2 linked regions of the Arabidopsis thaliana genome follow. The protein of the gene in region 2 interacts with the protein of the main gene of each other region in a pairwise test. Each region holds a gene or a part of one and is shown on either strand. Other genes may lie near its edges.

The links.
Region 1: the proteins of UPP (region 2) and AT5G10060 interact in a two-hybrid assay, tested with the Arabidopsis thaliana proteins (one large-scale study listed by BioGRID).

What each region holds. Positions count from the first base shown.
Region 1 is NC_003076.8:3,145,199-3,150,481, reverse strand, and holds AT5G10060 (ENTH/VHS family protein), read left to right. Parts: upstream 1-2,081; 5' UTR 2,082-2,432; coding exon 2,433-2,508; intron 2,509-2,628; coding exon 2,629-2,876; intron 2,877-3,089; coding exon 3,090-3,245; intron 3,246-3,332; coding exon 3,333-3,492; intron 3,493-3,558; coding exon 3,559-3,704; intron 3,705-3,783; coding exon 3,784-3,819; intron 3,820-3,900; coding exon 3,901-4,488; 3' UTR 4,489-4,733; downstream 4,734-5,283. Other genes in the region: AT5G10070 (RNase L inhibitor protein-like protein), read left to right, coding at 158-228, 313-341, 453-499, 596-661, 748-788, 880-1,016, 1,094-1,184, 1,284-1,355 and 2 more; AT5G10050 (NAD(P)-binding Rossmann-fold superfamily protein), read right to left, coding at 4,839-5,178.
Region 2 is NC_003074.8:19,955,856-19,960,972, reverse strand, and holds UPP (uracil phosphoribosyltransferase), read left to right. Parts: upstream 1-1,897; 5' UTR 1,898-1,966; coding exon 1,967-2,104; intron 2,105-2,123; exon of another isoform or gene 2,124-2,216; coding exon 2,217-2,318; intron 2,319-2,405; coding exon 2,406-2,484; intron 2,485-2,714; coding exon 2,715-2,773; intron 2,774-2,863; coding exon 2,864-2,941; intron 2,942-3,031; coding exon 3,032-3,113; intron 3,114-3,220; coding exon 3,221-3,269; intron 3,270-3,345; coding exon 3,346-3,407; intron 3,408-3,570; coding exon 3,571-3,638; intron 3,639-3,710; coding exon 3,711-3,766; intron 3,767-3,860; coding exon 3,861-3,908; intron 3,909-3,989; coding exon 3,990-4,059; 3' UTR 4,060-4,383; downstream 4,384-5,117. Other genes in the region: AT3G53910 (malate dehydrogenase-like protein), read left to right, coding at 527-548, 749-1,008, 1,073-1,117; AT3G53890 (Ribosomal protein S21e), read left to right, coding at 4,924-4,973, 5,088-5,117. UniProt on the Arabidopsis thaliana protein: Uracil phosphoribosyltransferase (UPRT) that catalyzes the conversion of uracil and 5-phospho-alpha-D-ribose 1-diphosphate (PRPP) to UMP and diphosphate.

The sequences.
Region 1 (5,283 bases), on a different chromosome or scaffold from region 2:
TGAATGAAAGGTGTGATATATGACACGTGTACTCAATTGTTCGATTCGGTTTGGTTTAACATCGTTCCGTCGGCTACCATTAGAAAACCTAATTTACATATAAAACCCTAAGCCGATCAAAAAAACCTTTGCATTTGTCGGGAAAATCGCCGGAAAAATGGGTTACGGGAAGCATAATCGATCTAAAGGAGGTAATTCAAGTCGTGGTCGGACTGATAATCTTGCAAGGTAAATCTTATCTTTGCGAATTGAGGTTTAGCTCTGTTTTCGATTTGTCGTAGTTGAGTAATTGTGATTTCGTTGAAATTGCAGGGAAGATGAATCGCTTCCTCTTGATCAAGGTACTGAAAAGTTGGATTTTTATGTTGTGTGGTGGTTATGTGATCTGCTTTAATTGTTTTAGTATTACTACCAGTACCAGTAATGCTCTTATTGGGTGATTTTTTATGTAGAACCTGAGGATGAAGCACCAGTTCCAAAAGTTCAATTGGCAATGTGGGTATGCATAGTTTCCTTTATGTTTTATTCAAAGCCAATGAAACTTCGAAGAACAAATTGTTGCTTCAGTACTCACAACTGTGTTTTTTTTGTTTAGGATTTTGGTCAATGTGATGCAAAGAGGTGCACAGGTCGTAAGCTTGCTAGATTTAACTTGTTAAAAGTAAGTATCTTGAGCTAGTAAAAATATATATGTCCTCTTCTTTCTAAGTGTTTCAGCTGAAAAATTCTTCTGTGATGATTTTGTAGGAATTACGGGTTAACACTGGATTCGGGGGTGTTGTTTTAAGGTATACCTCTTTTTACTGTATCCTAGGGTCATTTGTTATGACATTGGATGATGTTTTTAGTATCGTATTTTGAGTCTCATGATATTGGCAGTCCAGTTGGTAGACAATGTGTTTCAAGGGAAGACTATGATCTGATTAAAAGGAAAGGATTAGCTGTTGTTGATTGTTCTTGGGCACGTCTAACTGATGTCCCGTTTGCAAAGCTGCGTTGTACTGCACCTCGTCTTTGTAAGAACTTACGACTTAACTGATAAATATGTATCCAGATCTCTAGGAAATGTTTCTAATTTCTTTTATGGTTGCAGTACCATGGTTAGTAGCAGCTAATCCAGTAAATTATGGAAGACCATGTGAGTTATCATGTGTGGAGGCTTTATCTGCCGCTTTAATACTATGGTGAGTCCATAACATCTTCTCCTAAAACCCATCCGTCTCTTCTATTCGTCATACATTATCCGGTTTTCTAATGTCTTACTCTATCTGTTTTCCAATCAGTGGGGAGAAGGAAACTGCAGAACTTTTGTTAGGAAAATTCAAATGGGGTCATGCCTTTTTATCTTTGAACAAGTAACAAAACCGAAGAAGTTCAACATCGTCACATCATTTTTGCTTTTTGATCGGTGAATACAATTGAGCTATGTGTCTTTTAACAAGGTCTCGCTATATCGCAGGGATATTCTAAAGGAGTACTCAAAATGTGAGAATAGCGCTGAGATCATCTCAGTTCAAAATTCTTGGCTTACTCAGCAAACTCAGATCCCAAAACAACCACCTGCGCTCGAAGAACGTAAAGGCACATCTTTTTCTAATCTCTCTGTCATTACCACATACCTAACATAAGCTGAAATCTCACTTGCTTCCTGTTATTTCTTGTTTTGGGTTTAGATGTTAAGAAAGATGGTGAATCTGGTGATGAATCAGAGGAGGATGATGAAGATGGCCTCCCTCCTCTAGAGAGGAACATGAACCATATCAAATTAGAAGACAGTGAGGAGGAAGATAGCGAGTGAAAAGCCATTGGAGAAATCCTATTTGATCTAAAAAAGTTTCCATCTTTGGCTTACACTACTTGAAAGCAATGTTTTTCAAGTTTTCACCAGATTCTTCTGGTGTATTAATACCATGTAGTATAATGTTTATTTAGTTTTATTAATAAAAATATCTACTATACATTCTTAGATTTTTTAAATTTAAAGTTTTTGTTTTTTTCCATGTAAATATTAAATCTTTTTTTTAGGTGAAACAAAATGATAAAATAATTGAAGTGGAACAAAATATGGAGAAGAAAGAAAGTGAAAGCCCATCTTAAAGTTTGAAAGCACAAAAGAAAAAAACACAAGTTTCCTGATTCCTCTCTTCTCTGCGATTTTAGCTCTAGGGATCGATTTCGGCGTCAAACGTCGTCGTTTTCGACCATCTCCTACTTACTACTACTCAGCTGCTTCTGCCTTCTAGGGTTCTTTCTCCGTTCACCCTCCGCCGCACGAGTTGTCCAGCTCCGCCGCATTCTTCTGTCTCCCAGATCACCGGCTTTAAGCAAATCCGGCTGCTTTTCACTCTAATTCGTAAACCACTTGTGGGATTTGAGCATCTTTTACATTCTCCAAAATCTCTGCTTTCTAGGGTTTTGTGAGTTTTGGTGGGATGAGTAGTGTGTTCAGTGATCAGATCCTGATTGATAAGCTCGCTAAGCTCAATAGCAGTCAACAGTCTATCGAAAGTATCCTCTTTTAACCACTTCATCTCGAGTTTATTATGAAAGTTTTTACCTTTATGCTTAGATCTTGTAATTGTGCTTAATTTTTTCGATGTTTGGTTTCTTGACTCTTTTGGAATCAAGCTCTGTCACATTGGTGTATATTCAATCGGAGCAAAGCAGAATTGATCGTTACGACATGGGAGAAACAGTTTCACAGTACAGAGATGGATCAGAAAGTCCCTCTTTTGTATTTGGCTAATGATATTCTTCAGAACAGTAAGCGTCAAGGTAATGAGTTTGTGCAAGAGTTCTGGAATGTTCTTCCTAAGGCTCTTAAAGACATTGTTTCTCAAGGAGATGATAATGGCAAAAGCGCTGTCGCACGTGTGGTATTTCTCTCTCTCTCTCTTTCTTTCATTCTTCGTTGGAGCTTTTGTTCTTGTCTGGTTAATGCTCAATCTCATGTTTTGTATTGGGGGTAGTCTAGTGTTTGATGTTAGGGATGAAGAGCTTTAAGGTTCTTGAGATGTGTGATGCAATACAGAAGACATGAATAGAGAAGTTAATTGCTAATTGAGATATTTGGTTTACGTGATTTGTAGATCAAGATATGGGAAGAAAGAAGAGTGTTTGGATCACGTTCAAAGAGTCTTAAAGATGTAATGCTTGGAGAAGATGTTCCTCTGCCACTTGATATCAGCAAAAAGCGGCCTCGCGGATCCAAATCTTCAAAACGGGAGTCAAAATCGTCCAGAACGGTAAAACACTAAACACCAAAGTTTTCTTTTCTCCCCTATTAATATCAGTCATATTGCATTTTCCCGGTTTTTTGCTTTTGGATGCAGAAATTAGCATCAAGTGGTGGTGTGGCTGAGAAGATAGCATCAGCATATCATTTGGTTGTTGCAGAAAACTCAAATGAAGAAGCTGAGATGAATAAATGTAAGTCTGCAGTTAAACGAATCCGGAAGATGGAGAAAGATGTTGAAGAAGCCTGCTCTACTGGTAAAAACCTGTTACACTGATTATCGATTATCAAAATCTAGTGTAAATCAACTTGTGTCTCTACAGCAAAAGACAACCCGAAGAGAAAATCTTTGGCGAAAGAATTGGAAGAAGAAGAATACCTTTTGAGACAATGTATTGAGAAACTTAAATCTGTTCAAGGAAGTAGAAGTTCCCTTGTGAACCAGCTTAAAGATGCACTACGTGAACAGGTACAAAATACTTTTCTTGCACTTAGCAAGTTCACTATTTCGGTAATCTAATTTTCATTCTTTTGCTTACTTGTGTCAGGAATCCGAACTGGACAATCTTAAAGCTCAGATTCAGGTATGTGTTTGAATTCCCGCTGCATCTTCGTTTTGTGACCAACCTGAGCTTTCAGCTAATGAACCATTTTGTTATTATTAGGTAGCTAAAGAACAAACAGAGGAAGCCCAAAACATGCAGAAACGGCTTAATGATGAGGATTACACATCAAAACAAACAACTGCTGCCACTACGATAACCGAGACAAATGACAACACCAAATCTGGTCAAGCATCAAAAATGACGCCTGCATCTATTGCTGCAATGCTCACAGCGTCAACCTCATCACATATGATAATGCAGTCTGTTCTATCTTCATTCGCAGCTGAAGCAACAAAGACTTCTGGTCTATCCAAATCAGAGAGCACAGTTCCGGTCTCAGACACTAATGCTTCATTCCCTTCTTACAACAACTCCCAGAATCAGACACCTACCACACAAGGTCAGTACCATGTAATACCTAATCCACCACCACCACAGTTCCTAAAACCACCGGTAATGAATAACCCTTACGCCTTTGGCAACATTCCGTTAATGCCACCTGGGCTTCCGCCACCACCACCACCACCACATTTGATAGGTAATCAACAGCCTCAAATTCCTCAGTCGAACTCAGCTCAGCAATCTCAACAAGGTCCAACTTTCCAGCCACCAGGGATAATGTATTACGGAGCTCCACACCATTCTTAAAATAGAAATGATGTTAGTTAATAGCTTTAGATAGTTCTGACCCTTTTTATCTGCTCGAATGCGGTTTCGATGTTACATTGTTGGGTCAAATCAAAGTAGAACTACTGTTCCTCTGGTTGTAGAATCCTCACCTTTTCCCGTTACAGATATTTGTACCACAAGTTTCTACAACATAATGTAATAATTTCTCCTGTTCACTCTCTATCTCCTTCCTGTATGTATGTATACTTCTATACCTTAAGAACCGAACTGACTCAAACATGGAGACATAAGAGATTCAATTAACAATTTGAACAAAGCTTTTACATTCGTGTTTAAGGTACATTCTGTCTTAAACCCCAACCTGATTATCACTTCTTCATTAAAACCTGCTTCTGGAAAAAATCTTTGAGCCATAAGGGCATATGATACATGACTGCCATGAGGGTTGAATACCTGCCTGACGAGAACCAAGCGGGTGGATTCTTCTTCAGCACTGCGGCTACAGTGTCTCTGGCAAATGTTTCTGCAGGAGTTGGATTCATCCTCTGTGATATAAACGCCCTTTCTCTGATAGCTTCTTCATAAGGCTTGTATAGTTTCAGCTCAGGCATTTTGTTGAAAGTTGCCACAGCTGAGTTTGCTATGTTTGTTCTTATTCCTCCCGGGACAACATTGATGACATCAATCCCAAACGGACGAAGCTCCAACCTGACGTTAAGCAGGAAACATTACAAAACAATTGACAAACCAAAACCATCCGGTGCTGGATAATTTGAACAACTACACTTGTCATGAACATCAAGAATCATCAAC
Region 2 (5,117 bases):
GTTTATAATAGTAACATTGGAGATCCTCGAGTGTAAAATGTCTTGTACGGGGTTGTAAACTTATATAGTTATATTACAGTGAAAATAGATATTGTACAAGTTATAAAATCCTAACCACTTGGATAATCTACACATCCTTCGATTACTTTTACAATATAGCTGTATCAATTATCTTGCATTTGTGCAATTATTATATTGAATTTCAATTGAACCAATTATAAAATTTATTATGTAATTTAGTATTATATATTTTATCAATTATAAACAATTCATACTTTTTGCTATTATATATATAAAAAAATTTTAATTTTTAATTTTACTAATTGAAAAAGATTATATCTAACCACCTAACGACAACTCCTTTCTCGGATCAAGTTTTTTCTTGGTTCTTCTTTTCTCGGGGTACTTCCTCTCGGATTCTCTATGTCTCTTAACTCGGTCTAACCCGCTAAAGCTTAGCTCACATGCGGGTCATAAAATCCGATTACCTTTTGCGAAGTATGACCGAGAGTTGAAAGAAATTCGGATGTTCCTTAGAAACTCGGACCGTGAGTCCTTCTTTCTCGTTTAACTTGGAGTGTTCAATCGTCGGGTTGGAAGTGAATCGGATGATAATCACCTTCCTTCTCGTCTTTGTCCTCCGTTTTAAGTTTTTTTTCTTCCGTGAATTCTTTTTTTCTCTTCCTCTTTCGCGGGACTTAACATTTCGAGTTATCTCCGATCTAGGCTTCCCGATCTTTCACTTCAGCATACGCTATGATATCGTTTCTAAAGTCACTCATTCGTGCTCTGGACGGAGATGATGACGTCTTCGATTTTGCTTTTGTGGCCTCTTCGGTCACCGAGCTCCCTTATTTTGCTACGAGGACAAAGATTGGGAAGAAGAGAATTGAGGAAGTGATAGATTCAGATCTTCAGGGACTCGCCAAATACGAGGAGAGAGCGATTAAAGCTATCAAGCCGAGAGTGAAAGTTACCATTGAGAAAGACATCACTTTGCTACAGAGGGTAAGTGAATCTTTCTTACATCCACAAGACATGGTTCTATGTGTGTTGTTTCATCTTTCTCTAGACTTTTGTTGCTATTTCGGTTTACAAACTTTTGATTGTGGTTTGATCTTTCTCTAAACATTTTTTGCTGTATTTGGTTAAAGACTTTTGAGAATCTTCAAACAGGGCTTAGGACTTCTTAATTGTGCCTGAATTCTCAGACAAAGAATCCGTGTCTGGTTTGTACAGTTTCAGAGATTTGTTACAAAAACTGATGAATGAGTTGAAGAGGAGAAGAGTTAAGGAGTCTAGTCTAAATAAGTTTTCAAGTTTATTGTAATAGTAAAACCTCTATAAATTAATACTCGATAAATTAATAATCTATATAAGATTAATAATTTTTTCCAGTCCCGAGTTGGGACTGTAAAAAGTGACACAAATTGATAAATTAATAAAATAATAATTTTTTTGAAAATCCTATGTAAATATATGATCCCATCAATATTATAAATTAGTAATTGTATAAATATAAAATATATATATATCTAATATATTATATGTAAGAAATTTCTAATATTTTTTTGCTTAAACTCGTATTTGTTCTTATTTGAATTTAGTTATAATATTTTACTGTATCAAAACTTTTGATATTGTTTTATAGACATGATAATTATTTTTTACTTGCAATTGGTTTTAGAAAGATATTCTCTATGATGAAAAATATCTTGTAGAAACTTTTAAAAAGTTACTACATTAGAAAACTCTCTATGTAAATTAATAAATTATTTATTAATTTATTCCTTAATTTGTAGATTTCTGTTTGGAAAGAAATTGCTAAAAATTAATATAAAAGCCCAATGGGCCGTGTAATAAGTAGACCCAAAGTTATTCGGTACAGTAGTGACGACCGGTTAATCTTCGCCCGCGCTATCGTCATTGCAAAAATCTCGAACCAGATTCGGACATCTCGTCGAAAATGGCGTGCTCAATTGGTAACGCTTTCAGGTGTTCTTCTGATACGCTGCGTTTTGCTCCCCGACAACAATGCAGCAGCCGCCTAAACCCTAATCCTTCCTCTTTCCTCTCCTTTAATTCCTCCCCAATTCTCGCACAGGTATCGAGTATATATATATATTTATTCTAATGTCCAAAGCACACTTTTCCAGTAACGCCTTTTGCATATTCAAACTGAATTTTGATTTTCGAATTTCTGGATTATTTTAAAGAATTTGGGTGCTTCTTCTTCGTCACTTTCCCGACGGACTATACGAGCTAGAACAAAAATGGCTGCGTCGGAGGCTTCCATTAACGGGAGCAACAGGATGCTGGTAATAAAACTCTAGGATTTCAATTTTCAGATTTTTTTTGAGTTTGATTTGAAAGTGAAAGATGTGAATTTGATTCTGGTGTTTCAGGTCTTTGTGCCACCACATCCTTTGATCAAACACTGGATCTCTGTTCTGAGAAATGAACAAACTCCTTGTCCTGTTTTCAGTGAGTAGATAAGATTCTTATGAGTATTTCTGCGATTTAACCAGTGTTTGTTGTTAAAGAACTGAATTTTACATCCATTTTTTTTTTTTTTTTTTTTGATTCGTTGGACAATCTTTAGCTCTTAGATTGGTGTTATCTGCTACATTGCGTTTGAATATGAGTTTTTTTAGGTTTGCTACTAGTATAAGTCTGTGTTGATCTTTAAAGCTTGAGTTTTTTTAATTATCTAGGGAATGCAATAGCTGAACTAGGGAGATTACTCATGTATGAAGCATCACGAGAGTGGCTGGTGCGTAGAATTTCACATCTCTATTATTCTTGAATTCTTCCTACCCGTTTTTTGCTTATTGTTTTTTGTTTTTTGCTCTATGCGGTTAAGCCAACTGTTGTGGGTGAAATAATGTCTCCAATGGGTCCTGCTTCTGTTGAATTCATTGATCCTAGAGAGCCTATTGCGGTTTGTTTATCCCTCAAACTCTTCCTGTCTATATTTTCTTTTCGACCTTACATGTAAGCGTTTCTAATTCTTGGTTTTGTCTCTGTGTAGGTTGTTCCGATATTAAGAGCTGGTCTTGCTCTTGCGGAACACGCATCCTCAGTTTTACCTGCTAATAAAATTTATCATTTAGGTTAGTAATCTAGCTATATATCATCTCTTGCCTGAACTTCGGATGTCAAAAATGAAAACTTTTATCAAATAGCTTATTGATGTCCCCGTGCTTCTTTTCTTTTACAGGAGTAAGTAGAGATGAGAAAACACTTTTACCATCGGTGTATCTTAACAAGTAAGAACTTCTCTGCAGCATTGTGTTTGTAGTTACTGAAGTGTTTATAATAACACCTTTGATACATCTTCTTTAGGTTGCCTGATGAATTTCCCAAGAATTCAAGAGTATTTTTGGTCGACCCAGTGCTTGCCACAGGTAAGAAAGTCTTATCATTTTAGCCACCTCCATATTAGAAGTATAGTTAGGGTTTGATGTTCAAATGTACACGATAATATGTGAATGTGAACGCATGACATGGTAATACGAATGTTTCATAGCTAGAAGCGTAGGTTTAGTAACTTAGTAACTTGTATTTTAGGTGGTACCATAATGGCGGCGATGGATCTATTGAAGGAACGTGGTTTGTCTGTTCAGCAAATCAAAGTGGTAAGCATATATATAGGAAACAGCTTTTGTCAGAAATCGAAGTGTTAATTGTTTTGATTTTTCTGATTACAGATTTGTGCGATTGCTGCACCTCCTGCACTATCGAAGCTTAACGAGAAATTCCCCGGGTAATCAATAGCAAAAGATCAACTCTCACCTTGCTTACCATTTAGTTAACTCTCTTTTTACTAAACTGTTTGGCTACTATTTGAAACATTTCAGGCTTCATGTATATGCTGGAATTATTGATCCTGAAGTCAATGAAAAGGGGTAAGTCATTAGGTTCTTTGGCTTTCCATATGAAAACTGGCGATTGTATTTTAATGTCCTTATGTATTTGTCATGAACTAGGTACATAATCCCTGGGCTTGGAGACGCTGGAGACCGCAGTTTCGGGACAGAAACACATTGGGTGAAGTGATACTTGTATGAGTTGTTAAACTTTAACAGTCACAATCGTTAGATTATATATTGTGTCTCTTGTACTTTGTTTTTGATGTGTGATTTCAGGTTCTTGAGAGGGTTTCGATAAAGAGTCAAAATTTCACAAACAAGAAAAACTGAATTCCTCATTATTACAAAACAGAGAACAAACTTGTCAACCATTTTATGTGTATCATTCTCAATTGTCTACCACAAACCATTTTGGGAAAAAGTATGCAAGAAAATCTGAAAAATTCATCCATGAAGCAAACATTTGAACCAATAATAAAAGTTTGTTATCAAATTGAATGAACTTAAGTTACTACCAAACTGAACCAGTATTTATGGTTTGGTTACGTTCGATTCCGGTTACAATTAACTGTCGGTACAATTCTGGTTGAAAAAGTTTAGTATTTCGGTTTGATTTAATTTTGTATACCGCTCTAATTGGATCGGTTTTTATTGCTCTTCAATTAAAAGTTGAAGGGTATAGTAGTCATTCCTATGAAATAAGCAAACCCTAGCTCGCTACTATAAATCTAATAAACCTATGAATTAAGCAAACCCTATCTTTGTCGCCGCCAAACCTCTCTCAGATTCTTCTTCTTCCTCGCAGGTGAGAATTTCTCCGTAGTATCTTAATCTCCTTTCACTGTATTGCTAATTAACGCATCGGAATAATCTAGGTTTCGATTTCAGAATTAGTTATCTCGTTGTGTCTTTTGTTGATTATATATTATTGTTGAATGTGATCAATTATTCTTGATGAATCTCTTAATTCGAGGTTCTATTGCTCATCTGATTAGTTTTTTTGTTTGTTTACTTGCTCAGATCGATTTTTTTTTGAAGCTAAATCTCAAAAATGGAGAACGACGCAGGTCAGGTCACAGAGCTCTACATTCCAAGGAAATGGTATATATCAGCTCTCTTTGTTCTCTGTGTAACGTTTGATTAAAATCTTAAGCTAATTGTCTTAATTAAGTAGCCTAAGCTGATTCTATTGTTGTGTAATGGTAATTTGTTTAGCTCGGCAACAAACAGAATGATCACATCAAA